Linked DNA regions of Pelodiscus sinensis. The protein of the gene in region 1 purifies or fractionates together with the protein of each later gene. This does not show direct contact. Links are inferred from orthologs where the notes say so. Each region holds a gene or a part of one and is shown in the gene's direction. Other genes may lie near its edges.

Region 1 (7,543 bases):
TGTCAGTGGACCCAGGTCATTATGTCATAAACTGCTGGGACTGGCTGGCTGAGGTGTGCATGGAGATTCCTGGTCTTCGACTGGATGGGTGCTGACATCATAACAGTCCCGGGCAGAGGGTGATGCTGCAGGTGCTTCTCTGCCTCTGTAATACACGAGAGTTTCTGGGGGCACTGCTGAGAGGGCCAATTCAGGGCGAATTGCTTGGAGACAGAGCTACTTACAGCTTAAGTCTGGGAGTCCTTCACTATAAGGCACCAGCCAATCACAAAGAGCAGTTCTATTCACCGTACTGGCCAGCAAGAAGTCCTACATGCAATTTCCTTAGACACTCCAGTGCTCCTGTGCCACCACCAGCACCGCTCCAAGCACAGATGAGAGGTTATGAAAACTAATCTCGCCAAATCAAAATGGGTTTTCTGACCGCAAAGGACCAGCCACATTCCCAGCTCACTTTAGATCAGGGCTACTCAACTTTGGAAGCTCTGGGGGCCACAAAAATACTCCCAGCACATGCTGAGGGCCGCAAGTTAAGTGTAGTCGCAAATAGCTTCTTTCACACTGATTAAGTGCAAAGTGCACACTGATGCATACAAAGATTAAGGCAAGACTACACGATTTGCAGGCCCCATTTAAGTCTGTTCTGCTGATACTAATAAAATGCAATATTTACCCGATTTCCACCCACATGACCGCACTTTTGATGAGAACTTTTAAAAAGAAAAAGTTATATCCCAGTGTTTTGCGTGTTTAGCTTGAAGCTTCAGGTTGTGCACTTCTCAGAGTGATTTCACTCAGAAAAAGTTTCCAAACCAGAATGCTCCAACCTGTGGTGGGAGGGGAGCTAGACGAGTCATGCCGGACACAAGAGGCAAAAAAGGACAGGTGCTCCGGAGCCCCATCCTGGATTCCCAGCAGGGATGATGTCCCAGTGGAGGCCATGTTCAAAGGATCCCACCCACAAGCCACATGTTGAGCCCTGTGTACACCCAAACCGCACCGCGGACCGCAAACAAACAGGCTGCAGGCTGCATGGTGAGTCGCCATGCGTTAGACTGACATTACCCAAAAAGCATGCTGTGCCAGTCCTTTTGAATCTAAAATCTAAAGGGTTATCAATAACAAGAAATGGTGAGAGCTACAACTCTTAAAGGAATCAAATGCATGCACCAGTGGCAAAGTGTTTGGGGCAAGCTTGAAGCAGAGGTGAATAATCTGCTGTTTTAAATCAAGTCTCTGGAAGACACCCACTCAAGGGTCAACCATCCCTTCAAGCTTCAGTTCCTAGCAAAGCCCCTCCACAGGTGAGACGCTAGAATAAAGACAAATGGGCTTTGTCTACACAGCTGGCTTTTGCCAGCAGAGAGTATGCAAATGAAGTGCTGATTAGCATTTTGTCCTGCTTTATTTGCATAATCGATTCAAGCTGTTTTTGCGCAAGGGATTTTTGCGCAAAAACAAGCAGTGTGGACGTTTCCTTTTTGTGCAAAAACCCCTTTTTGCTTGTTTGTGCGCAAAAACCCCTTGCGCAAAAACGGTTTGAATCGATTATGCAAATGAAGTGTGACAAAATGCTAATCAGCACTTCATTTGCAAACTCCAGGGCTCTTTTTATATCATAGGCCACAATGAAGGACGCTCATGGCTCTCAGTGGGAAAATGCAGCTACAAAATGCAGTTTGTCACCTAAGCACAGCCCTTGTCCATGCAGGACTCAGTCCTTTTTAGGCAGCTACCATGGTCCAAATTCCAGATTGGAGGTTTGCAGGAAAGTCCACTGAGTGCAATTGGTGCTTCCCATGCTTCATTGTCCCAATCAACCTGAGAAGCCTTTCTCACACACACACACACACACACACACACACACACACACACACACACACACACACACAAATATGATACCTGCCCACAAATAGCATAAACAGAATCAGCGAATCATTAGCTTTCTATAGACACCTCACGTGGCCCACTTTATACAAGATTTAGTGCAAACATCTAGCAGTGGTTGCAACAATCACCTGTACGGACATATCACACTCCAGTAACAGTGCAGCCTCTTGGGACCCAATTCCGCTGGAGCAAACCTACAGATGCTACAGCCATGTGAATTGATCCCGATGCCATGGGGCGCCTGTCTCTACATAGACCCTTGTTCCCTTGCTCTGTCACTCGCTTTGCTCCACCACTGTCTCATGTCCATGACTGTCCTGGCATTTCCCTCTTCCTGGATGCAAATGGGACCGTGCAGGAATTGTGCCCTACCAGTTAATACTCCATTTAGAGGCGTGGTGCAGAGAAGGGCGGGGAGAAGATGGGGGCTGCTACAGACCAGTCCTGGAAGGACAGGGAGACAAAAACATTCAGACAAAAGGGAAGGGAGCAGCTGTAGAAAAGGGATGAATTTTGTGTGCCCTGCAGTATCTCAGAGCAGTGTTTCTCAACCTTTTTTTTATAAAGTACCCCCTTAAAAAAAATAAGTACCCCCAGTGCTTACAGTTTTCAGACACACAATTTTTTTTCTACCATTTTAACACATTTGTTTAAAAAACTTAATCATAGCCGGGCGGGTGATGACATTTTTGGGTGTAAAAAGTACAAAAGTAATAAAGCGCTGTACAACTTAAAACAAAAATTCAGTTTTCTCCAAATTTCAGTTGTGTTGATGTAGCCCCCCGACTTCTCTCGAGTACCCCTAAGGGAACTCGTACCACTGGTTGAGAAACACTGTCTCAGAGTATAGCCCAGTACTACAGTACAGCCGCTCCTCGAGTTGCGAACGGTTGAGTTATGACCATTTGCTCCAAAGCTCCTATGGAGCGGTCGTAAAGGCGGTCCCCTTACGAACAGCGCGGTCACGTGTAACTCAATGGGGTCCAAGTTACGAATAGATCGAGTTATGGGCAAGTGTTTGGTCCGTAAGTCGTTCGTAACTCGGGGAGAGGCTGTAGAGCTACCCCGAGGGGCTTGTTGGAGATGACTGGGCCAATCAGGCCTCACACCACTTTACTAGAATTCTTTGATGGGTCAACAAGCATGTGGCCAAGGGATCCAGTGGATGTAGTGAACTAGGATGTTCAGAAAGCCTTTGACAAGGTCCCTCGGCGAAAGCCCTTCAGCAAAGTCATGGGATACGAGGAGAGAAGGCCTTCTCATGTAAGTAATTAGGCAGAAGACAGGAACAAAGAGTAGGAATAAATGGTCAGTTTTCATAATGGAGAGTGGTAAATAGCAGGGTCACTGTAGGACCCTGCGATCAGAGCTCTTTGGAGAAGAGGATATAAAACTACTGAAGATGGCTCAGTCCAAAGCTGACGGCAGGGAGTTACAAAGAGACCTCACCAAACTGGGTGACAGGGCAACAAAATGGCAGGTGAAATGCAATGTTGATCACTGTAAAATAATGCAGGTTGGAAAAAAGAATCCTCACTAATCATACAAAATGCTGGGGACTAAATTAGCTGTTACCATGTGAGACTCAGATCTTGGAGTCATTGTGGAGAGTTCTCAGAAAACATGCACTCAATGTGCAGCGACAGTCAAAAAAGCAAACAGCAGCATGTCAGGAGCCATTAGGGAAGGGATAGAAAGTAGGAAATATCACAAAGCCACAGTATAACTCCCTGGTATGCCCACATCTTGAATACTGTATGCAGTTCTGGTCACCCCGTCTCTAAAACAAAATATTGGAATTGGGAAAGGCAGGGGGTTGAGGAGAGATTCATGAGACCAGGACTGTTCACTGTAGAAAAGACAGCACTGAAGGGGCATCTAGCTATAGGACGGGGGTGAAGAGACTGAATGAATTTCATAGAATCCTAGAGCTGGAAGAGACCTCAGGAGTCATCAAGTCCAGCCCCCTGCCCAAAGCAGGACCAATCCCAACTCAATCAACCCAGCCAGGGCTTTGTCAAGTGGAGACTTAACAGATTTGCTCCTTCCTATAACACAAGAACTGGGGTGACCAGATGACATGGACGGAGGGGGGGGGGCAGGTTTAAAATGTTGCAGCCTGCGGAACTCACTGCCAAGGGATGCTGGGGAGGCCAGACGTGAACTAGGCCAAGTCTATGGGCATAGTGACCCTGGCCACCAGCAGCCCTGCCCATCCCTCTGAGCTGTGTCTATCCTCATAGCCCTGCGCTTATCCTGATTGGAAGAAGAAGGGGGAGAGATAACTACTCCTGCCAGCACTTAAGATGGCGCCCCACTCCTTCCCATCTTCATGGTGTGTTTTTTGCCACCATTCAAGATGGCGTCTCATTCCAGGCTTCACTTGCCCTTTGTTCCTCCCTCTCTCAAGACCGCAGTGCTACCCTCGTAGGAAACTGATGGAAGGGCGCGCTGACTGGCAGATGAATTAACCCAATCAACAGGCAGCTTCCAAAGATGGACATCTCTATCAGCCAATAGACTGGCAGTTCCTCTGGCGGCATCCGCTAACTCCGGCGTAAGGCGGGCCTCGGGCCTCCAGCAGACCAATGAGAGTGGAGGGAGCGGCCCGGAATGGCGGGGCGTCGCGCCAATGGGAGTGGAGGCGGAAGAAGCGCTCTGTCGCCGGCAGAGGACGCGCCGCGCGGGAGTGGGAGCCGGAGCGCGGTACCACGTGAGCGGCCTCCGGGAGCGCGAGGTGAGAGCGGCCGGGCGGGGCGCTCACGCGAGCCCGGGGCTTGGGCTGCGGCCTGGTCGGCGCCGCGTCTCCCCCGCCCGGCCCGGCAACGGGGGGGGCCGGGGCCGGGAGCCTGCCCATGGCGGCCGCTCTGCTTGTGGGGGGGGCACGTGCCCCCAGCCCCCCCGGATCCTCCAGCGCCCCCTAATCCCGCCCGTAGCCCCGCCTCCCGCGCCCCGCAGTCCCGACCCGCGGGCCCCCAGCTCTGCCAGCGCCCCATAACCCCGACCCCCCAGCCCCCCCCGCAAGGGTACCGTAATGCCCGTCCACAGCCCCCAGCCCTGGCCCCCCAGCGCCCCATAACCCCGACCCCCCAGCCCCCCCCGCAAGGGTACCGTAATGCCCGTCCACAGCCCCCCCAGCCCTGGCCCCCCAGCGCCCCATAATCCCGACCCCCCAGCCCCCCCCCGCAAGGGTATCGTAATGCCCGTCCACAGCCCCCAGCCCTGGCTCCCCAGCGCCCCATAACCCCGACCCCCCAGCCACCTGGCTAGCCCAACCCCCCCCCCCGCAAGGGTATCGTAATGCCCGTCCACAGCCTCCCCATAACCCCGGCCCCCCAGCCCCCCCCCCCGCAAGGGTACCGTAATGCCCGTCCACAGCCCCCAGCCCTGGCCCCCCAGCGCCCCATAACCCCGACCCCCCAACCCCCCCCGCAAGGGTACCGTAATGCCCGTCCACAGCCCCCAGCCCTGGCCCCCCAGCGCCCCATAACCCCGACCCCCCAGCCACCTGGCTAGCCCAACCCCCCCCCCCCCGCAAGGGTATCGTAATGCCCGTCCACAGCCCCCCCAGCCCTGGCCCCCCAGCGCCCCATAATCCCGACTCCCCAACCCACCTCCCCAAGCGACCCAGTGTCCCATCTAGTGCCCCTCAATCCTGACCCATAGCCTCCCAGTCAGTGCCCCTCAATCCTGACCCACAACTCCCCTGGCTGTCCAGGCTCCCCACTCCCAGCTCTGCCAATGGCCCTCAATCCTGCCCAAGGCCCCTGGGCTAATGAAGTTTGGGGTTACTCCCCCACCCCAGCTCTGCCCGTGCCTCACGCTCTTGACCTGCAGCCTGTTACCCCAGCCTCATCTCCGTCCCAGCTCTGTGGGTGTGTCTCCATCCTGACCTAAAGCCCTTGTGCAAGTCCTGGGCTCCCCTCCACCTCTGTTGGCTCAGCACTGGCCTGAAGCCTTTACTAGCCTAGTACAGGCCTGGGTCCCTCAGTTCTGACCTGTCCAAACCCTGAGCTCCCTGTGCTAACACTGTTGGTACCTTCAGTGCAGCCCCGCAGCCCGAGTGCCCCGTTCCTCGCAGAATGGCGGAGCAGGATGTGGAGAACGAGCTGCTGGATTATGAGGAGGACGAGGAGCCCCAGGTGGTGGCGGACGCGGTGCCCCCTGCAGCAAAGAAGGACGTGAAGGGCTCCTATGTGTCCATCCACAGCTCAGGGTTCCGGGACTTCCTGCTCAAACCCGAGCTCCTGCGAGCCATTGTGGACTGTGGCTTCGAGCACCCGTCTGAAGGTAGGAGCGGAGCCGAGGCCCCTGGCCCCTGGGAGCGCAACCCCCTCGCCAGCCCGCCTGGGAGGACCTGCGGGCGGGGGCCATAGAGAGCGGCGCTGCCTGGTGAGAGCTGCGGGGATACGGGGGTGTCAGCAAAAGGAGTGTGATCCTGAGATCTGCCCTGCCAACTGGGGGCTACGGACGTTCAATAGCGACTGACTAATCGAATAGTCGATGTATTTTGCATTGACTATTCGATTAGTCGATGGGGCGCCTCCACCTTCGAAGTGTAGCAACAGCTCTAGGGCCCATGGGCTGTTGCTACACTTCAAAGGCGGAGGTGGAGCCTGGGATCAGCTGGGAACTCCCCCACTGACCCTGGGCTCTGTGTGGCGCTGCCGCTTTGAAACGCTGCGGGGAGCCTGGGGATACCCCAGCTGGCCCAGGCTTCAAGCGGTGCTACTGCTTTCAAGTACCCTCTCCTCTTTCCCCTCACCCCGCTGCCTCTTTCTGATGGAGGCAGCAAGGGATGGGGTGTGACCAGCCGACTAGTCCATCAGGCCTGTCTGCATTGGGGAAGCAGGGAGCGCTCTCCTTGGCACTCAGTATCAGCCCCAGTGCAGCACTGAGGGGCCCTGTGCCGCTGGGGGTGGGGTCTCAGTAGGTGACCCTAATGCCCCAGTGCTGGAGGGGGATGGGTTTAGCGGTTTGAGCAGCGGGCTGGGAGTCAGGACTCCTGGTTCTCCCCTCAACATGCTGCGCCCCATCTAACTGTCGTGTGTCTGCCCTCCCCTCGCAGTGCAGCACGAGTGCATCCCGCAGGCCATCCTGGGCATGGACGTGCTGTGCCAGGCCAAGTCGGGCATGGGCAAGACGGCTGTCTTCGTGCTGGCCACGCTGCAGCAGATTGAGCCGGTGGATGGGCAGGTATGGTTTGGGGGGGGGGGGGGGGAGCAGCCCTCTCTCTGACCCATTCCATGTGGGAAGGGGCCTGGGGCTGCCTATCCAGGTGTGGGGTAGACTTGGTGAAGAGACATCCTGGGCTCCAAGAGAAGGGCAGGGAAGGCGACGTGGACCCCTGATGCTTTAGCTTAGTCTGGTCTCCCCAGATCATTCATCCCTGTGAAGGGGCAAAGGGGGGGCACCTGTTCCCCAAATCTTGGAAGAGGGGGGAGGTGTCCATCCCCAGGAGGGTGTTCCTGGGTGGGGGTGTTGGGCTGCATCCCTGGAGAGGCAGGATGTCTCATGGGGTGCTGAGGTGACCCCGTCTCTCCCCCCAGGTGTCCGTGCTGGTGATGTGCCACACACGGGAGCTGGCGTTCCAGATCAGCAAGGAGTACGAGCGCTTCTCCAAGTACATGCCCAGCGTCAAGGTGATCCCATC
Region 2 (7,451 bases), on another chromosome or scaffold:
TGAGCTATTAACTGTGAACATGCTACTTCCCTGTTTAGCCTGTGCTGGGCACCAACTGATCAAGAGGACTATAAACAGTTAGAAAGACACACTATACAGCAGAAATTGTTGTTTGGGAACTGTTTAAGGGAAACAGACTGATACCCATTGGGATGCATGAGTAGCTAGCTCTTCCTAGGCCCCCCTCCTAGGGTAGAAAGGCTTAGGTAAGATAGGTACGCATACAGACCTTTTGTTGTTTTCAGAATCCTTTTTCTCTTTATGTTATGCTTTGTTCATTTGGTAAGATTTGCACCTTGCCATCCATCCAACCATCCCACCCCAACCCACTTCTGCACCCTCCCAGACCCCCCCAACTCCTAACCCACTCCTGTACTCTCTTTCCTGTCCATACCCCTCATTACCACCCTAAGCCCACTTCCAGGCAGCCCCCTTCCACACACTGAACCCCTCATTTTTGGCCTGCCCCAGAGCCTAGGGGGACCCAGGCTCCCTAAGCTCTGGTGTGCAAGGTGAACATGGGGAGTGTCTTTGTGCTTCTAAGTCAGGGGTTCACATCAGGGAAGTGTGTGTTTGGTTCCAATTTTTGTGCATCCCTTGATTGATTTTTCTGTGTGTCTCCAGTCCCTGGCCCAAGCAAGATTCCCAATTTCCTGCCCTATTTGTAAGAATGAAATGAAGAAAACTTGTGTCCTGTTTTGCTTAGCCTGGCCTTACGCTGTGTTTGGGAGGGTGAATCCTCTTTCATTTCAAAGTTCCTCTGAAATCAGCAGGATGCAAAGCATAATGGGACATGGGGAAGTTGCTGCTGCTACCCGTTTACCTTTTCTTACATTTTACAAACCATTTGAGCCTAATGGGTGCATGGGTTCCTCACTGCCTGTAAAGACACTGGCTGCAGCTACTCAATTTTCTGTGTTCTGCATAGTTTGGTGACAAAAAGAAAGAACCCAGTATGAATGCTTAGTGCCACCTAATGGAGATGAGGATCATGTGTCCAATTTACTATCAGGTACAGTACTTCAGGACTGAAATTTAGTTTATTAAAAAAACACAAGAGAGTTACAAAATGTTTCCATGAAATGTTTAAAAAAAAGTCTATTAACAATTATTTAAACTTTCCCTACCCTGCTGAGGACTGAGACATTATTATTTCATGGTAGTGAATCTGTCTGTCTAACAATCTGCCTCTTTTGGCATTATGTTCCTCATGTAGACTCTGATTTGCTGGAGAATTAAATAGTGAAAAAGACTAGAAACAGAAAATGAAACTGGCTAAACAGGCAAATGCAGAAAAGAAATGAACAGTACCAATGGTGAGAAATAAACTAGGTGTGAATGTCTTAGTAGCAGTACCTGTTTTAAAATACAACTTTTCTAATTTATACTGTTACTAATAACACAGGTAAGGATACATTGAAAGCTTTGTTCTCTGGAACTCATGGGGAAAGAGAGGGTTGCCGGTTAATTGAATGTGCTGGATAACACAGTTTTTTGCTCTGCCCCTCCACCACCTACCAGCAGATTCAGCAGCTCAAAGCAAGCTGAGGGGAAAGAAGGTGGTTGCTGATGATGTCAACAAGTGGTGCTGGTTGTCAGAAGCCCTGCAACAGCTGGACACGCAGGAGTCAGGCATGCGTGCCTGATGATGCGGTGGTATTATGGCTGGGGGCAATGCCGGTAAACAAAGTTTTCCAATTAACAGAGTGCCGGATAACAAAGCTTTCACTATTTTTACATGCCAATTATGCATGTATGTGCATGTATTTATACCGTCTCAAAATAATTTACACAGAAAAAATGATAAAAGACAAAAACACTTTATCAATCATGGGAGAACACTTTTCAAAAAGCTATCACTCTGTTCCTGACCTCTCAGTCCTTGTGATCAAAGGAAATCTGTATAACACCTTCAAAAGATGAACTTGGGAACTGAAATTCATAACTTTTCAAAACTAAACAAAACTAAGGGGAGGAAGGGTGGAGGCAAGGGCTTGAGATGAAGGGGGCATTGTCTTGTTCTTCCCCCCATTACTAAATAGATCACACTAGGGCTTATATGGACTTTGAGTTCCAAAACCACAGCTTTCAACTAGGACCAAGCAGGTCAGACAATATCACTATTCCAGTGTTCCCTCTATTTAACAGATGCAGTTATGCCGGTATGTGCATGTAAAGATTTTCTCGGTGGAAAGGACCTATTAGTATTGTATAAGCATTTATAAGGTTGCTTGATTTTATGTAATATTCATAAAACTTTTCAGTGTCTTTTTAATGGTTCAATTTTCTACTAAATCATTTAAAAGTAAATATATTCTTCCTCCTTTGATTTTTTCCCTCTTTTTCTTTTCTCAATTTGACTTTTATTTCTACTTTCTTTTTAAGTAATATCTTGGTGAATTTTTCTGCCAACTTTTTAAATGTCTGCTTTTCTTCATTCTTGGGGGCTTTAAAATGTTTTTGTTCTCTCTCTCTCTTTCTCCCTCTTCCCTTCCTTTTCTTGTGTTTTGGTCTCACTTCTTTTGTTAAATTCTCTTTCAGCTCCTCCCTCCTTCCCCATGCCTGAACTGGAAACTTCACAATGGACACTTCAACGCATATCCCTGCTCAAAGCTCAAACCATAGTAGTGATCAAACAAGCACAGTGTAAGGTTTTTGTATCCATCAGAATCCTGTACTCCTTGTGCCCTTTGAGGATTTGATTGCCAAAATTCAAAATACGCAAAACAAAAAAAGCCAAGTTAAGGTAACCCTTTTTAGTATTACACAACCTTTGCCCTGCTCTTAAACACCAATTATTCAGAAATCCCTCAAGATCACAGTATCTTAGCCATACATCAGCTTCCTTGTCCTGTATCATCTCTGACAACCAGATGCCAGTGCTTCCCACAACTGTCATGCTGCCCAGAGCCTACTGAGGGTGTGTCTAGACTACAGGTTTTGGGGGGTTTTTTAAAGGCCTTTTTTCAAAAAAACAACTTCCCCTGCGTCTAGACTGCTGCTGCGTTCTTTCGAAAGTAAATCTGGTGCTCAGGCATGCATAGAAAAAGTAGCTAATGTGTTGTGGCTTAGTTGGGTATGTGAATCTGGGGAAACAAGCACATATTCTAAAAGGCATAAGAAGTACAGGGCACAGCTGAATACCTTCACTTTTGAGCATCTAGAATAGTGATAGAAATGTAGCCGTGTTAGTCTGGGGTAGCTGAAGCAAAATGCAGGACAATGTAGCACTTTAAAGACTAACAAGATGGTTTATTAGATGATGAGCTTTCGTGGGCCAGACCCACTTTTTGATTTTGATCTGAGGAAGTGGGTCTGGCCCACGAAAACTCATCATCTAATAAACCATCTTGTTAGTCTTTAAAGTGCTACATTGTCCTACATTTTGTTTTGAGCATCTGTAACTCTGACCCCATTTAAAAATGTGTGTGTGTGATTTTTCCATAGTTTGTAAATATTTGGAATTGACAGTACATGGAGTTCTCCATCCCCCAGGTCCCAGTAGCTGCAGGAAAAGAGCCCCTTGTCTGTGTCTAGATAGTCATCAGCCAGCAGGTAGATCAGAGTGCAGCAGTTGCTTTTGCTGCAGTGCTTGTGCCAGAGCTGAGCAGCATTACAGGCCAGGGATGGCTAAACCTCCCTAAATAGCTCTATTCCCCCATACTCGCTCCTGCTTCCCACTGGCAGTCTGAAGCTCTTCCCCAGTGGCTAGCATCCCAGGCTTGGCCTGCTGCCATGGACTCCATGCGGCTGGAGTTGGTGCTTGCACTGCCTGCCTGCCCAGCACTGGTAACCGCACTGCCCGCAAGTTTCAGGGCCGCATGGTGTTCCCGGGCTAGCAGAGGCACCCACCCAGCACTCTGGGGTAAGGATGTTAAGAGGCAAGTAACTGTCTAACCATGTAGTCAATACACTTTGATGAGTTGATAAGGGAAGGTGCTCAGTCCCGGCTTGTACCGGGTCCAGGAGCTACCCCCGCTGGGCGCACAGGCAGCCTGGCTCCCACTACATTTAAACTGTAGAGCCCCAGCGGGGGTAGATCCCAGAGCCAGCGCAAGCCAGACCTGAGCTCCTCAGTCCCGGCTCGTACTGGGTTGAGCAGCCCCTGCCTGTGGGGCATCCCCGCTCCCTGCTGCGACCGCCCACGGATTCAGAGCAGCCTCTGCTTGTGGCGAGCCTGGGCCAGCCTCCCTTGCCCTTCCCGCCGTCTCCCGTGCAGCTGCCCGATAGAGGCAGCAAGGCGGGGGGGGGGGGGGGGGGTACAGGCGGCACCGCGCCTGGGGAAACGCTCTGTGGCTGAGACGCCGGGGGACGGCGCCCGGGCTGGGGCAGCGGGGCAGGTGCTTGCCCTGGGCGCGTTCCCGCGGCCGCAGTCGGTCTGCCGCGCCTGCAGGGGTCGCTGCCGCCGGAAGCTGCTGCGCTCGCTCGGTGGCAGCAGGCGCAGCGTCGGTGGCAGCAGCAGCAGCAGCCGCAGGAGAAGCAGCCGCGGCGGCCCCGATTCCAGCTCCGGCCCCCGCCCGCCCCCGCCGCACGATGCCCACCGTGGAGGAGCTTTACCGCAACTATGGGATCCTGGCCGACGCCACCGAGACCGCGGGGCAGGTGGGCCCCGGCCGCGGCCTGCAGGGCCCCGCAAAGCTTCGGGCTGGAGTGCGGCGGGTCCCTCGGCGGGGGAGGGCAGGCCCGGCCCGGGCTGGAAGGGGCAGGGGGAGGGGGAGGCCAGGGGGGAGGGGGGTTACTGGGGCTGAGCAGCCTGGCGGGGCAGCGGGTTACGTAGCTGATTAAAATATTCTCCCCCTCCTCCCCCGCCAAAAGCAGCGTCAGCCTGGGTCAGTGGCGTCAGGCTTGAAAGGGGGCCCTCTCCCCTGCCGTGGCCACTGGTGCCCGGCGTCTGTCAGTTGGAGGGAGACTCCTTGACCTTGTGTTGGGTGCACGGCGCTCTGGTGCTGTCCCAGGCGTGGAAAGGGTTTGTGGCCAACGGTTCGCCAGGACGTTGAAGGCCTGAATCCCAGAGGTGCGTAGCAGCCCCTGCTCCTATTCAGCTCTCCTGGGAGTTGTGAGTAGCCATCATCCCTCACAAGTCGGTCGATTCCTTGAAGCTCCCTCCTGCTTGGCAGAGCTGTGTCTCTTTGAAATGTGGTGTTCCACTTAGTAGCTCCGTCTCAGAAAACAGATTTGCCTTGCTGGGTGTTTGGCCCAGATAAATGTATGGTAGTCATCAAAAGAAAAAAGACACATCTTGCATCTTTTACATTTATTATCACCATCCAGAATAGGGTAAAGTCTTCTTTCTGCAACAAGGTGGATAAGGTGTTAAAAATACAACTTGGTTCATTTTCTTTAGAATAAAATATTTAGCTTGCTTGTTCCACTTTAAGTAATTTGTTTAGGAACATTCTGCTAGCATTTTAAGGTTTCTGTTCTGCATAATTTTATATGTGCAATAGAGTTAAGCTTGTGCTGAAGAGCTTGCAGTGTCTGAGCACTGAACAGTTAAGCCAATGTAGGAGTAAAAATGAAATTAGCCAAAGTAAACCAATAGCAACTTTAGTGTAATTATTGAGGCATTACTGGTTAGAAAGGAAACTTATTTCCAAAGATAGACATTGTGTACAATAGTTCATTTAAATGGCAGATGGTAACAACAATATTTGATTAAGAGCAATATGATTATTCATCTGTGTACAACTTGAGGACAGAGAAATTGCTTGACCAGTTTTGGCCAACAGTCATCTTTTTTTTTTTTTTTTTTTTTAAATAAAGACTTCCAAGTAAAATCTTCTGTCTTGAAATATTAATATAAAAACATGACTTGGCAATGCCAGGTGAAAGATCAAATGTCAAACATCATCTTAGGCAGAAGATAATTGTTGTTGTTCTTCAAGTTTTTACAAATATCAATTCTTTCCCCTGCCTAGATAGAAGGTTTCCAGTTTCTCATCATGCCATTGAACCCTGATAATCCTATGGAATTCCATCAACTTCGTTGTGACTCTGCTTGTGTTTAAGGGGTCTGCTTCTGTGAATACGATAGCAGCATTTGGCTCTTAGATAGAATATGTAAATATTTTAATGTTATTCAGCTGAGCAGAGGATGATTTACTGCTTCAGTTGGCTATTAAGGGCTAGATCTACTCTTACTGAAGTCAGTGGAAATTTTGACTTCAGGAATAGGAATGGGCTGTTTGGAATGGACCATTTCCTACCTTATTGGTGTTTTGGACAGCATTTTTTTGTTGGTTCAATTAGGAGTCAGCAAGTTTATGTCACTATGCAAATTATGGTTCCGTTAATTTATCATTAATATAGGTGAACTTTTTGAAATAGGGTTTTGTATTAATCATAAAAACTAAAGTACAATTGAGAATAACAAGTCCTTTCTTGATCCTAGGGAAATTCTAAGTATGTTCTGCTTTATATAGTCTATTTTCTCTTCTAGCATAAAGATGCTTATCAAGTGATACTGGATGGTGTAAAAGGAGGTGCCAAGGAGAAGAGACTGGCAGCACAGTTTATTCCAAAGTTCTTCAAACATTTTCCTGAGCTGGCAGATTCAGCTATCAATGCCCAACTGGACCTCTGTGAGGATGAAGATGTTTCCGTAAGGCTACATGTTGGATGTTTTTTAGCAGGCTTCTATGTTGAGTCTTATTTTGTGTTCCCTTTTATTCCTCTCCCATTTTATACAAGTATTTTCTTGCAAAAAAGGGACTCCGGTGTCCATATGTTTCAAATTATATTATGTCTGTGTGTCATAAAATTGTAATTAACAATATGTTAGTTCCTTTCTTTTATTTCAGTCAAAACAATTCTGATCACTTTGGCTGAAATAATCGGATTCTATGTTACTTGCTTCATGATAATGCTTACAATGTCTGAAGAACACATTGTAATTCTGTCCATCGTCTATCACCAGATAAATCTTCCTTTTCTTCATTATCCCTCGTGATTCAACCCTTTCTAATTACAGGAAAATTTTCTCTACCTAGAAAATGAACTGAAAAATACTTCTCACATCTCTAGCACTTTTTATATCAAAGTACTTTATAATAAGTAGAGATGTTAAAATGTGTTTTAAGTAACCATATAATTTCTGAAAATATCAGCGGTTATGTGCAAGATGGCAGTTGGTTCCCCAGGAACTGGTGCTCACAGAGAGCCAGCTTTTAAGCAGGCTCACTGCATGTACCAGCTCCCACCTACATCTGACATCCCCCCCCCCCCCCCCCCGCCTCCCCGATGCCTCTCATACCAAGGCAGCAGTAGAGGGGAGGCGGCTCCCTGGAAGCTGGTGCACACAGGAATTTGGTTTTTAAGGCACCTCGCTGCATGTACCGGGTGAAGGTTACATGAAGGTTAACTGATGAGCCTAGTGTACATGGTTACATTTCACATTGCTAGTATTAAGCATTACATCTTCTCTGCAGGGTAGGGAAGTATTGCTCCCATTT
Region 3 (6,923 bases), on another chromosome or scaffold:
CCCAGGTCTGCAAGAGGCGGGCGCCCGCCTGGTCTAGTGCAGACATCGTGGACCTCATCCACGACCTCCGCACTAGGCACAGGAAAGTGGCCGTCTAGGGCAGGATAGCTGCCAGCCTGGCCACCCAGGAGCAAGTATGTATGAAAATCAAGGTGGTCCAGTGAGACCCCCGACCCTGAGCCCTGAGCTTAGAATGGCCGTACTGGGTCAGACCAAAGGTCCATCTAGCCCAGTAGTCTGCCAACAGCGGCCAACACTAGGTACCCTGGAGGGAATGGACCGAAGACAATGACCAAGCCATTTGTCTCGTGCCATCCATCTCCAGCCTTCCACAAACAGAGGCCAGGGACACCATTTCTACCCCCTGGCTAATAGCACTCCATGGACCCAACCTCCATGACTTTATCTCACTTCTCTTTAAACTCTGTTCTAGTTCTAGCCTTCACAGCCTCCTGCAGCAAGGAGTTCCACAAGTTGACTATTTGGTTTGTGAAGAAGAACTTTCTGTTATTAGTTTGAAGCCTGCTACCCATTCATTTCATTTGGTGTCCTCTAGTCCTCCTATTATGGGAACTAATGAAGAACATTTCTTTATGCACCCTTTCCACACCACTCATGCTTTTATAGACCTCTATCATATCCCACCTCAGTCTCCTCTTTTCTAAGCTGAGAAGTCCCAGTCTCTTTAGCCTCTCTTCATATGGGACCTGTTCCAAACCCCTGATCATTTTAGTTGCCCTCCCCTCTCCCACCCTCTCTCTTCCCCTCTCCCACCTCCTTTTCCCAGTCTCCCCAAGTTTTGCTCAATAAAGAGAGTTTCTATTTTTGAACACACATGTCCTTTATTTTGTACATCAGGAAGGGGGGCTAGGGAGGGGTAAGTGGAAGGAGGTGAGGGAGGACTGGGGTACGAGCCCCCGATGGGGAGGACTGGGCTGGCTCTGCGGGCTCCTCGGGGTGGAAGCTCTCCTGCAGCCCCCCGATTAACCCCCGTCCCCGGATGGCAGCCTATGGCGAGTGCAGCCGGGCTGATGGCCGAGTGTGGGCACTTGAAGCCAGGACTGCTTTGCTGTCCCTCATCAAGTTAGACAAGTGAACAGGGAACCCCTGAGAACTGTCTGTCCGGGGTGGGGGTCGGGTCCTTTTAAGCACAGCCCTCGGCTAGCCTGAGACAGCAGCTCCACGCTCTAAGTCCTCATCTGATGCCCTGCCGGCACTGCTTCTGGCCATCCTTAACCCCGGTTCAGGGTCCACTCAATGTGGACATGCTAGTTCGAATTAGCAAAACGCTAATTTGAACTAGTTTTTAGGTCTAGATGCACTAGTTCGAATTAGCTTAGTTCGAATTAACTAATTTGAATTAAGTTCGAATTAGCGCTGTAGTGTAGACATACCCTTCAACAGCAGATGAAGAATTTCACGTCAAATATCTTTATTTCATTCTTCCAGAATTCAAGCTGATGGGACATGATTCATTGCATATAGCAACTACATGGGCAAGAAAGGTCCATTAGCCTAGTCTTTGTAGCCATGCCTACAGATGCAGCTCCCTCAGTTCTCCTGACCCATTGATGGGGGCAGGTGCACATGGACTCTAATTGATGACCCCTGCACATACAGGGCTGCAGGTGCAGCTGACCAGTCTGGCACCATATCTTCCCCCACAATGGGGATAGCCAGTGCTTGTGATTCTAGCCCCATGACTGGGAGGGAGCTGAGAGTCAGGGATTCCAGCCCATGGTGCGCAGACTTGCCACGGGCTGGAGAAAATTTAGCAGGGGGAAGGTCCCTCTCCTTCCCCACTTTAGGAAATATTCATTAGTCAATGTTATTGAGTGAGCCTGAATTGCAAAGTTTAGACACAAACTGATCTGAAAGAGATGTTCCAGGGAGTTGGGATTCTGCATTCCCATTTCAAAGTGACACCCACAGTATGCAGCTCTACCTGTTTCTGAAATTACACACAAGTCTGTTTGCTGCAACAAACATAAAATTACCACATCCTCTGGAAACCTTTTCCTCCTGTAGACTTGTGCAACATAATTTCTCTCGTTTTCTGCAAACTTACCACAAAACAACTCCGACTAAAACATGGAACAATATACTTATCCAATGACAGAGCATTGTCACGTCTGAAAGGATGTTACAGAATGTCACTATGTCCAGAGGCAGATAGTTATGACTGAATTGGCAGGGTACAACCTGGAACTGGGGTAACACTGAGCATCTTTAACTCTCCAGCCTGGGCGCTATCTCGCAATGCTTTGCAAGTGACAGCTGTGCTTGGCAGGGTTTGCTATTTATCATTCAGCTCCCAGATCCACTCACAAATCTTAAAGAGAAAGGAGCCAGCCAATTCCTCTCACCTCCCTGGACTTTTGCCCAAAAGGTGCACCATCTTTTCCTGGTCAGAAGCCTGACCAGTGTATATTTCTTACACAGTCCACCCATCCTTCAATGTGGAGAGGACACACTCTAGCCTTTCTAACCTGAGCTGAGATTTCCCAAGCACTTCAAGGAAAACACTGTTCTGGGTAAAATATCAAACAGATTTATTAAATAGAGAGAGAGAGAGAGATTCTGTAGGCTACATCTGCACTGCAGCACTATTTCGGGATACTGGAGGTATCCCGAAATAGCTATTCTGCGTCTTTTGAGCACACCCGTTATTTCGAAATATAATGGGCTCGCTATTCTGACATCCCTCTAATGAGCATTAGAGGGGTAAGGGACTTTTCAGAATAGCAATTTATTTTGAAATAGGTGCTGTGTAGACAGTGCCAAATTTTGAAATTAGCTATTTCAAAATATGATTAAAATAAAATATGCAATTTGCGTAGCTCAAATTGCGTATCTTATTTCAAGCTACAGGCACAGTGTAGAGGCACCCTTTAAGTGGTAGACATAAATGATCAGAGATAGTTACCAAAGAAAATAGAAGCTAAGCACACAATCTAACTCTTAAACCTTATTATATTATGCAGTATTTAGGTCAAGCAGTATTCTCACCCCCTAGATATTACAGTTCTTAATACACAGGCTTCTCCCTGGTCCAGTCTCCTCAGTTGAAGTCTTTGTCTTCCAAGCATTCTTGTTCCTCCTTCCAGCATATGTGGGGGAAGAGAAAGGGAACAGTGGCACCAGGCTTTTGTCTATCTTGTATCCTTAGTCCACGTACCTATGAGACACTTGCTCCGATGAAGACATGTCCTGATGGACTTTCCTGAGTCACAAGGCTAAGCAATACCACTGATGTGATCTTGTGCAACTGCATCCTAGAATTGGACAGTCTCCATTGTTTGGTGCTTGCACAATTGTTATTGAATTGTATACCCTTTGATTAGAACTCCCCTATTGATTAATGAATGTTTAATACCATCCTGGAAGTGGTTCATCACCTAGCATTAAAGACTCTCAAAATTACAGCATATTTCAGTAACAACCATTTGGCAAAATCTCATAACTTCATGCACACTATTGATAAGCATTTGAACAGAACAACTGGCTTCAGACTTTTTATATGATGTGATGCTTTGCATGAAATAGTCATCATTTTATGGTGGTGTTATGGGACTGTAATGAGTCTGGGACAGCAACATGGCTGCCTGCTGACCCGGAAGAGGAAGTGCCCTCTATGACCCCTTGGTGGGCGGGTCCAGCCACACCTAGCCCCGCCCACAGGAGGTCAGAGGGCGGGTCTGGGGCTATAAGAGCCACAGGTTCAGTCGGAGCCAGGTAACTAAGCCAAGCCAACACCTGGCCGTAACTCCCACAGCGTAGGCCTCGGCCGCACTGCCCCTGGTCCAAGAACTGGGTTGGGCTGCGTGGACCCCTGCCAACCTCAGAGCTCTGGCCTGGGACACTGGCTGCTGCCTGAATGCACGCTGATCCTGATAGCACGCTTGCTGGCTACCAACAACTGTGCTGGCCCACCTGGAGTCCTGCCTGAACCGGAGCCCATGGACACCCTGCCAACCCCGCTGTTGCCCGAGTATCCACCGGACTGTCGCCAGAATTGGGTAGGCCCATGGAGGGAGGAGGGGGGTTGGAAAGTGACTCAGGGACAGCCGATCCTGGGAAGGCTGAAGAAGTGGAGGTCAGGTGGGCAGGGCGCTGTGGCTTGGACTCCCATTGACCTGGACGGCGCGCTATGGCCTGGAGCTCTGCCGGTCCAGTGGCTGCTGCCTTGGCACTGTTAGGGCCCTGGTGCGGGATGCGGTGGAGTAGGGAGGGCCTGCGTCCCCCCTGCAACCCTTTCCCCTGAGTGGCAGGTTCCCCCTGTGGGGCCAAAACCCTTGTGCTTGTCGGCTCTCGCAGAGCGAGGAGACCCGACCCCTGTCCGGCTGGGACCCAGACAGAGCTTTAATAGACACTTGTCGCCCTGACCCAAGGCACCTTAAACTGTGAACTGATGACTATTTGTATTAACCCCATGTCTGTCCGCCTGCCCTGACCCCGGGCGGGGCCTCACAAACTCACTCAGCCGAGGCATGTCCCACGGACTTGTGGGCACTTTAGGGAGTCAGCAGTGCCCCACCTGCTAATGTAGGACCCAATGGTAAGTACTGTTTACTTTTGGGAAGCTAGTAACATTGTGACTGTTGTTTTGTAAGTTGAACTGTCAGGTGATGCAGGACTTGCAAAGAGGGCATCCAACCCCCATACTTCAAACATTCCAGACTGATTTCTTAGGTCTCCTCTTTCATTAGTACAAATGGCATGGGGCTCCATTTTTTGTTCTCCCCAACAAAAAGAAGCTTTTTGTGTGCAGCAATCTGTCACAGATCAAGATCATTGGTCTTCCTGGCTCATTTTATATGAAGGAAATCTTCCTTGCTCTGCCATAAATGCATTGTATTACTTTTGCAAAGTATGGAGTTTCCACACAACAAAGCACTTAAGCGTGTCCATATGAATACTTTATTATATACCTGCCAACTCCCTCAAAACCAAAACAGTAGTTGTTAACTTCATGGGCCGTAACTTCATGGATTGTAATATGAATCGCTTAGATCTGCTACCACACCTCCTGGTGCAGTTATTGCATGCTGCCCACATGGCACTGCAGAAACACCTCATCACCTCTTTCCCCATACTGCTCATGCAGCAAATTGCAAAATTTGAGGCACAAGGCATTAGAGCCACATTTCACTTCAAAGTAACATTCAACAAAACCAAAGGAGGCAAAAAAAAAAGAAATCTAATTAAAAAAAGGATACACACAACACACACACAAGCTTTTAATTTAGTTTAGTGGTGAATATGACGCATTTAGATTTGGATCATGTAAATGATGAGAGAAATCAGGGAGACAGAACTTTCCTTTCAATCACTATAGCACTAGAGATATTTCTGAACTTACACAATTCATTCCCGGTGATTTCATGTGCAACCTCTACACTGGAACTATGACGGTACAAATAAGCTATTTTGGCATCATAACTCCCAGAATAGCTATTTCAAATACTATGTTCCACACTACAAAAGCCCATCAAAATAGTGCAGAAATATATCAAAATAGTGTGTCCACACTGAGTGAAGCCTGAATAGCTCTTAAGGCCCCCTGGAAGCATCAGGGCAGAGCATCAGGACAGCAGTCATTTCCTGTAGCTGCTGCCTGAGGCTATCTGAGGCTTATGCTTAAAAGGGCTACCTTCTACAGCCATGTCTCAGGCTCTTCACCTTTGCCTTGAAGGACAGCAAACTCATCTCACTTCTTGCTCTGGTTGCTCTTGAGGGCATGGAGCTAGATGTGCTAGAAAGTAATCGCCATCTCTTAGATCTGCTACCACGCCTCCTGGTGCAGTTATTGCATGCTGCCCACATGGCACTGCAGGAACAGGACACACTGTTCCCTGTAGGGCACCTCCTCACCTCTTTCTCCGTACTGCTCATGCAGCATGATCTCTCCCACCCTACCCTGCACACCAGGCACTGCCACTTCTGGCGACTAGCAACAGGTTCCAGCTGGTGGGGCCAGATTGTCATGGAGCAACGGGATGACCAGTAGTGGCTGTAGAACTTCCATGTGCTTAAGGACACCTTCCTGGAGCTCTGCAAGGGATACGCACATGGAACCCGCCATCCCCTTCCAGAAGTGGGTCACCATCACACTTTGGAAGCTCACCACACCAGACAGTTACTGCTCTGCCGGGAACCAGTTTTGCGTGGGGAGATCAACAGTTGGGGCCATACTCAGGCAGATACGATTCTCTTGCCGTTGTCCCAGGAGGGTGGTGAAGCACTGGAGTGGAGTTTCCTCGGGAGAGCTCCAGGAAGGTGTCCTTAGGCAAGTGGGGAAAGGGACCGACTCCCCTCCTAGGATGTGGTGGAGGGGCTTGTATAGGGATATGATTGGGGTGCTGCCCCTGAACGGGAGCTCCACTCCCTGGCTTTGGTGTAGGCCAGCCTCAACTCTTTCACTTTCGTGTGTTCTGGAGAAAGCAATAGACTTGGCTGCTTAGGTATCGTTTCAAAACAAACTTAGCATCTTCCCCAGGGACAAACTTGAAGGAAGATTACTATGCAGTCAGACAGATCCAATGTACAAGAGGAATAAAAGGCATCTGCACCTGGTCCACCAATTGGAGCCACAGAGGTGGTTGGATGGTGTGAAACATGTAAACTGGTTCTTCCTTATTCCGGCACAGAGCCTTAACCATTCTTCCTTCCATTCTTACAAAAATAATTAATACTAATAAGTATTTCAATTATCGTGGTGCATAGGAGCCCTAATTCTAGAGCTGAAGCTCACATAGCTCTTGTAGCAAGGAAAATCAAGAAACCAGGTTCATCTTCATGTAGGAAGGGCACTGGAGGAGGAGACATGTTTTTCTACCAGAGCCTCAGGGATGGATGAGGAAATCTTTGACTTGGGGTCTCATCCAAGGAGGGATATAGCAGAGCTCTGCTTTGGAGCCAGC

The links.
Region 2: the proteins of DDX39A (region 1) and API5 fractionate together in Homo sapiens (co-fractionation; 3 studies listed by BioGRID, with this or other methods). This does not show direct contact. The link is inferred for Pelodiscus sinensis from reciprocal best matches to the Homo sapiens genes DDX39A and API5.
Region 3: the proteins of DDX39A (region 1) and THOC1 purify together in Homo sapiens (affinity purification with mass spectrometry; 3 studies listed by BioGRID and IntAct, with this or other methods). This does not show direct contact. The link is inferred for Pelodiscus sinensis from reciprocal best matches to the Homo sapiens genes DDX39A and THOC1.

The regions. Positions count from the first base shown.
Region 1 is NC_134729.1:10,432,251-10,439,793, reverse strand, and holds the start of DDX39A (ATP-dependent RNA helicase DDX39A), read left to right. Parts: upstream 1-4,494; 5' UTR 4,495-4,627; intron 4,628-5,935; 5' UTR 5,936-5,972; coding exon 5,973-6,180; intron 6,181-6,958; coding exon 6,959-7,086; intron 7,087-7,439; coding exon 7,440-7,532; intron 7,533-7,543. UniProt on the Homo sapiens protein: Helicase that plays an essential role in mRNA export and is involved in multiple steps in RNA metabolism including alternative splicing. Regulates nuclear mRNA export to the cytoplasm through association with ECD.
Region 2 is NC_134714.1:80,645,019-80,652,469, forward strand, and holds the start of API5 (apoptosis inhibitor 5), read left to right. Parts: upstream 1-4,365; 5' UTR 4,366-4,533; coding exon 4,534-4,602; intron 4,603-6,439; coding exon 6,440-6,601; intron 6,602-7,451. UniProt on the Homo sapiens protein: Antiapoptotic factor that may have a role in protein assembly. Negatively regulates ACIN1. By binding to ACIN1, it suppresses ACIN1 cleavage from CASP3 and ACIN1-mediated DNA fragmentation. Also known to efficiently suppress E2F1-induced apoptosis.
Region 3 is NC_134712.1:79,537,433-79,544,355, reverse strand, and holds the start of THOC1 (THO complex subunit 1), read left to right. Parts: upstream 1-3,868; 5' UTR 3,869-3,959; coding exon 3,960-4,019; intron 4,020-6,923. UniProt on the Homo sapiens protein: Component of the THO subcomplex of the TREX complex which is thought to couple mRNA transcription, processing and nuclear export, and which specifically associates with spliced mRNA and not with unspliced pre-mRNA.